Xenopus tropicalis: one gene and its partner. The protein of the gene in region 2 purifies or fractionates together with the protein of the main gene of each other region. This does not show direct contact. Links are inferred from orthologs where the notes say so. Each region holds a gene or a part of one and is shown on either strand. Other genes may lie near its edges.

Region 1 (2,952 bases), about 67 Mb from region 2:
GGCCCCCACTGACATAATCAGCCTGCAAACAAGTAATGGACTGAATAATCAGCTCAGTTGTTTGTTCCACTCGTAAGCCATGTCCAAGCCAGTAGGTGCAGTGACCAATCATAGGTCATCTCTCCTAGATAATGTATGTTTATGGCAGCCTATTGTGTCAGTGCAGACATTTGGGGAAAAATTAACCACCACCTCTGGAGGAAGGTCTCCTTAGAAGAACATTCTGCCCACAGGCCAAAAATGTCAGCATTGCACCCTCTGGTTGATATCAAGCCTGGACTGGCAATCTGTGGGTTCTGGCAAATGCCAGAGGGGCTGCTGTAAGATGCCATAGACGGTCACTATTTATTGGGCTGGGGGGGGCTGTTTGGGCCTCTGTGTACTTGAAATGCCTATTTTGTATCCCAGGCCTGGTTGCTATTGAACTCTTCCCATCCACCCATAGGGCATTGCAGCTCCCCAGCAGCAGAAGATGCCAAAAATGTCAGCATTGCACCCTCTGGTTGATATCAAGCCCGGACTGGCAATCTGTGGGTTCTGGCAAATGCCAGAGGGGCTGCTGTAAGATGCCATAGACAGTCACTATTTATTGGGCTGGGGGGGGCTGTTTGGGCCTCTGTGTACTTGAAATGCCTATTTTGTATCCCAGGCCTGGTTGCCATTGAACTCTCTTCTCAGCCACCCATAGGGCATTGCAGCTCCCCAGCAGCAGAAGATGCCATGTTGGACATGTTTGTGCTTGGGTCATTGTGAAAACTGATTACATTGTATTTTCCCTGTCGTTACTTACTGATTCATGTTCCCACAGGTCTGGAGTATGGACAACATGATATGCACCCAGACGCTGCTAAGACATCAGGGTAGTGTCACCGCTCTGGCAGTGTCACGGGGGCGCCTCTTCTCTGGTGCAGTGGACAGTACAGTGAAGGTAGGTTTAGTCCATCTTCTTTAGGAACATATCATGCTGATATATATATATATATATGAGGCTGCAAGTGACGAGAAACCTACAGAGCCCTCAAGCCTCATCATATAATGTACTGACATATATCTGCTCTCTGTCCTAGGTCTGGACTTGCTAAATGGTGCGTGCAAAGCCCAAGGCAGACTCAGCAAATCATGTCCCATAACCTGGCATTTATACCGCTGCTGGTTGGAGGATCTGCCACAGTGCCAGCCACGTGTTTGCAGCAGACTTTTTTTTTATACTTCACAATGGACACTTTGGGCTGGCAGACCTTTTAGGCCGGGCTTGGAAGGGCGTTCACGCAAAATTGGGAGACACTGACTTTCTTCAGGCTGGATTGTCCTTATTCTGCTCCTGTGATGCTGAAACTCTAAGCTGCTTTGCAGAGGGGTGAAACCTTCACTACTGCTCGTGTACTTGTGTAAATAGCCTGCATCACTAGCACTTTCCAGTGTGAGGAAGGGACTCGGCTGCCACACTCACCAAACACAACCAAACCCACTCTCTTTAGCTGCAGCTTTTACCTTCTCCTCAAGCAACCTAATACTGTGGGTCAGCACCTGTGGGGGCATCTCCTGGCACCACATACTGTAGTTGGTGTGTTTGTTCTACAGCTTGGCACCGTCAGGCAGAGGGAAGGTTTCGCTCAATGTGATTTCTTTACACTAAGGATGCAATTACTGTGATATAGATAATTACGGGGCAGTCTGAATGCCAAACCCTTCTGGTAGGCTCTTTCCAGAGGAGACCGAACACCCTGTCATATCTGGGTGATTGTCCGCGTTAGTGTCCAGACTATTTACAGTATGAGTGAGATAGATAATCTGGAAGTATCTTCTTTACTGCAAATCATGAAGCCAAGTGTTTGTATAGCAAAGGATGAGAGTGTGGGGTCCCGGTTAGCGCAGACAATGCTCGTCCAGTCACCGTGTAATCTTTATAGTCACGGTTTTGTACGTTGTACTTGTGCAAGTGATGGAAGCCGCGCCGTAAGCACCACATATGCACGTTCTTTCTAATAACTATGTACATATGGGGCCCCCCACAAAGGACTTTGAATAATGAAATGGTGCTGTAATTTCCTTCCCTTGACGGCGTTGCCAAATCTGCAGGGGTCCATAGCGATGTGAGTGTTATACACTGACCCGCAACACTAATGCATCTTCCTCATTGGTGGTCTCACATCTATACAAACAGCCTCGCAAGCACTCCGGTCACACAGGACTGTGCAGAAACTGGTATATTTAATGTGAGAATCCCATCACTTTCCAAGCATTTGACAGCAGCCAATATCCCAGGTACGCTTATTCCCATATCTCACCTAGTCCGACTCCCCAACCTCCCACTCCACATGCAATGATATCCATTTATAGCTCACTGTTTTCTACTGTTTTTAAGGCCTGTATGATAGAATGACTGGACAACTGATTATTTCCTTTCTAATAAAATTGCAGCTAAGGCTGTCGCCTCATTGGTTTCCAAAGATCCCATTTTTGTTGGCTATATTATGTGGAATGTTGCTGGTAATAGATTGTGCATGATTTTATACTTTTAAACTGGCCATACTGTACACTATTAGATACACTCATTTGGTTAGGCTGACTCTGTGTGTGGCCAAATACCATTCGGACCCCTGGGCAATGACAGGATTGGAATATGGGCCTAGAAAGAGCTTGCCAGCTGAGAAGCACATCAGTGCAACAATGCAGTCCTCACCAGATGGCACTGATTTTTGCCTAGAGATTGGTTAGACAAAAAGCCCTTACCAGAGTTGGTGGCTTTTAATGGTCCATGTATGGCCACCTTAGCTGTCTCTGCTGTATTGGTAGCAAGCCCCAAGGCACATGGAAAGGTTTCAGGCAGTTTGACTGCTGCATTCCATGCTAAAATATGTAATCAAATGAATTCTGTTAATGGGAGTAAAGTGAACACATTATCATTGGATCCGATATGCAGAAATGGGGGCTAGAGCCTGTTGAAAGCAG
Region 2 (4,131 bases):
ATCATTTACAGTAGGGGGTACATTATCCCTTATAATACATGAGTGATACTCAGAGTTCCCTGTATAACTCAGCCTGCAGCCTTGTGCCTTTATATGGGGGGCACAGAACCCCTCAGTGACTGCTAATATCCTTATCATTTACAGTAGGGGGTACATTATCCTTATAATACATGAGTGATACTCAGAGTTCCCTGTATAACTCAGCCTGCAGCCTTGTGCCTTTATATGGGGGGCACAGAACCCCTCAGTGACTGCTAATATCCTTATCATTTACAGTAGGGGGTACATTATCCCTTATAATACATGAGTGATACTCAGAGTTCCCTGTATAACTCAGCCTGCAGCCTTGTGCCTTTATATGGGGGGCACAGAACCCCTCAGTGACTGCTAATATCCTTATCATTTACAGTAGGGGGGTACATTATCCCTTATAATACATGAGTGATACTCAGAGTTCCCTGTATAACTCAGCCTGCAGCCTTGTGCCTTTATATGGGCACAGAACCCCTCAGTGACTGCTAATAGCCTTATCATTTACAGTAGGGGGTACATTATCCCTTATAATACATGAGTGATACTCAGAGTTCCCTGTATAACTCAGCCTGCAGCCTTGTGCCTTTATATGGGGGGCACAGAACCCCTCAGTGACTGCTAATATCCTTATCATTTACAGTAGGGGGTACATTATCCTTATAATACATGAGTGATACTCAGAGTTCCCTGTATAACTCAGCCTGCAGCCTTGTGCCTTTATATGGGGGGCACAGAACCCCTCAGTGACTGCTAATATCCTTATCATTTACAGTAGGGGGTACATTATCCCTTATAATACATGAGTGATACTCAGAGTTCCCTGTATAACTCAGCCTGCAGCCTTGTGCCTTTATATGGGGGGCACAGAACCCCTTAATGTTGTCTATTAACAACTTGACATTATTTCCTTGAATAAAACCTTTATGAGACAAACTCCATGGAATGGAAGAGAAGGGCCACCCCGGTCTAACGCGGTATAAGGCGACACTGATATACTACAAGTGATACATTATCAACCGAATGTGTTTTTTTATTCCACATTTCTATGAAAATTAAACACGAGCAAAACCCCCTCACAAGTAGGGAACTCTATCACTTTAAATCTGAACGCTCAGCTTCCGCATCTCCGTGAGCTTCACAACTACAACTCCCAGAATTCCGTCGTTGAGAGTTTACGCAAGCCAATCGAATTGCGCATGTGCTTGAGCCATCCCCTGTTGAAATGACAGACAAGGCTGTGGGCCAATAAGCTGAAAGTTTTGTCTCTAGGCGATGACAGCCGTGCTCCTCCCCTTTATTGACGCCTCCGTGCTTGTCTCTGCTGGCGCTAGCCCCTCCCCCCTGTGACGTGCGCGTACTCGGTCCCGTAGTCCCAGGTTCACACGCTCGGTTTGGTTCCGTCGCTCCTTATTAATTAACCCTTACGCCGCGGCTGCCTTTTCGTAAGCGGAGCAGTTACGGGGCCTGTGCAAGTTCCGAGGGTTCCGGGATGGCCGCCATTTTGTGAAGAGCGGGCCCAGTTCGGAATAACACTGCCGCCGCTGCCCCCGGGCCTGTGACCCCCCGCCCCCCCCGGGAGGAACAGGCTGGGGGCGGGGGATTGCTGGAGTCGGAGCTGCAAGGGCTTCTGGGAAGTACAACCGGGCCCCCGGCTCAGCTGACAGGTATAAGGGCCACACATTCATTTTAAAGGGGGCTGCAGGCTTTGGGGGGGTTGTGTTGGGGGGCTATTAGTGTTTATGGAACTCTGAGGGGGGGGGAATTCATTGGGGGCTGTTATGGGGGAGGGACAACTGTAAAGGGGGGGTGCTATGGGCATTACAGGGGGGCTATATGATGTATTGGGGCTGGGGAGCAATGTCTGAGGGTGTCATGGGGGGGCAAGTGTGGCTAATATTTGTGTTTGCCATGGGAATCAGCTGCTATCTGCTACATTGTGTCAGCAGTCACAGCCAGCAGTGCAGCAGTCAGAAGCAATTGCCTTGGCAAGTACATTAAACCCACAGAGAATGAGGGAAGAAAGTGTATGGTGATTGGAATGGTATTTTCTCTTATTATACAGAATAGGGGAGCTACTTACATATAATATAAACCCAATAGGGCTGTTCTGCCCCCAATAAGGGGTAATTATATCTTAGTTGGGATCAAGTACAGGTACTGTTTTATTATTACAGAGAAAAGGGAATCATTTAACCATGAAATAAACCCAATAGGGCTGTTCTGCCCCCAATAAGGGGTAATTATATCTTAGTTGGGATCAAGTACAGGTACTGTTTTATTATTACAGAGAAAAGGGAATCATTTAACCATTAAATAAACCCAATAGGGCTGTTCTGCCCCAATAAGGGGTAATTATATCTTAGTTGGGATCAAGTACAGGTACTGTTTTATTATTACAGAGAAAAGGGAATCATTTAACCATTAAATAAACCCAATAGGGCTGTTCTGCCCCAATAAGGGGTAATTATATCTTAGTTGGGATCAAGTACAGGTACTGTTTTATTATTACAGAGAAAAGGGAATCATTTAACCATTAAATAAACCCAATAGGGCTGTTCTGCCCCAATAAGGGTAATTATATCTTAGTTGGGATCAAGTACAGGTACTGTTTTATTATTACTGAGAAAAGGGAATCATTTAACCATTAAATAAACCCAATAGGGCTGTTCTGCCCCCAATAAGGGGTAATTATATCTTAGTTGGGATCAAGTACAGGTACTGTTTTATTATTACAGAGAAAAGGGAATCATTTAACCATGAAATAAACCCAATAGGGCTGTTCTGCCCCCAATAAGGGGAAATTATATCTTATTTGGGATCAAGTACAGGTACTGTTTTATTATTACAGAGAAAAGGGAATCATTTTTAAAAATTAGAATTATTTGCTTATAATGGAGTCTATAGGAGATGACACTTCCGTAATTCTGAGCTTTCTGGATAACGGGTTTCCAGATAATGGCTCCCATACCTGTACTAAGGCTTTATAGTCGCTGTTGCAGAGATACATTGACCGGAAGATCTCATAAACTCATCAGATTTAGTAGCGCCCGACAGGATCTGGTGTTGTTGCACGCAGTGTAGCTCAGCCCTAAGGGGATCAGTCAGGGACGGGGGAGATTCCTGGGAGCTGATCCAGCAAGTCATGCAATCCAGTGGTGTAAATTAGCTGCTTGTTTCTGGTGGGGGGGCTAGAAGCATTGACGGATAGGGGCTGTGCAGTAAGTCACTAAACTTGCTCTCATTTTTAGGCAACTAGATTTTCCAGCTTCTCCAGTTGCAGCCTGTACAGGTCCAAACAGATATGGTTTGGGAAGGGCAATTGTTTGGCCCCGTGCTATGGTCACTGCTCTGCAGAGGAACTAGGGATGCACCAAATACACTATTTCTGGGTCGTGCTTGCTTAAATTTGTTTTACTTTGTGTTTATGTGGCCAAAAGGCACATGATTTTAAGGATTTGGTTCAACCAGGCCATATCCGAATCCTGCATAAAAAGGCAGAATCTTGGCCGAATCCTGGATTTGGTGCATCCCTAATAGGAACACTAAGACGGCCTCTAAAATCAGCCTGGATAGGGTGCTGGTAACCACCTGTAAGTAAAGGAATACAGATATGGGATCTTGTATGCGGAAACCCATTATCCAGATGAATTCCGTTCTGAATTACGGAAAGGCCATCTCCCATTGACTCCATTATAAGCAAATAAATTCAGAATTTTAAAAGTGATTTCCTTTTCTCTGTAATAATAAAACAGTACCTGTACTTGATCCCAACTAAGATATAATTACCCCTTATTGGGGGCAGAACAGCCCTATTGGGTTTATTTCATGGTTAAATGATTCCCTTTTCTCTGTAATAATAAAACAGTACCTGTACTTGATCCCAACTAAGATATAATTACCCCTTATTGGGGCAGAACAGCCCTATTGGGTTTATTTCATGGTTAAATGATTCCCTTTTCTCTGTAATAATAAAACAGTACCTGTACTTGATCCCAACTAAGATATAATTACCCCTTATTGGGGGCAGAACAGCCCTATTGGGTTTATTTCATGGTTAAATGATTCCCTTTTCTCTGTAATAATAAAACAGTACCTGTA

Evidence for each region. Proteins that work in one complex are often made in the same cells at the same time.
Region 1: the proteins of map3k2 (region 2) and traf7 purify together in Homo sapiens (affinity purification with mass spectrometry; 3 studies listed by BioGRID and IntAct, with this or other methods). This does not show direct contact. The link is inferred for Xenopus tropicalis from reciprocal best matches to the Homo sapiens genes MAP3K2 and TRAF7.

The regions. Positions count from the first base shown.
Region 1 is NC_030685.2:19,240,272-19,243,223, forward strand, and holds the end of traf7 (E3 ubiquitin-protein ligase TRAF7), read left to right. Parts: intron 1-808; coding exon 809-928; intron 929-1,067; coding exon 1,068-1,082; 3' UTR 1,083-2,452; downstream 2,453-2,952. UniProt on the Homo sapiens protein: E3 ubiquitin and SUMO-protein ligase that plays a role in different biological processes such as innate immunity, inflammation or apoptosis. Potentiates MAP3K3-mediated activation of JUN/AP1 and DDIT3 transcriptional regulators.
Region 2 is NC_030685.2:86,477,504-86,481,634, forward strand, and holds the start of map3k2 (mitogen-activated protein kinase kinase kinase 2), read left to right. Parts: upstream 1-1,331; 5' UTR 1,332-1,697; intron 1,698-4,131. UniProt on the Homo sapiens protein: Component of a protein kinase signal transduction cascade. Regulates the JNK and ERK5 pathways by phosphorylating and activating MAP2K5 and MAP2K7. Plays a role in caveolae kiss-and-run dynamics.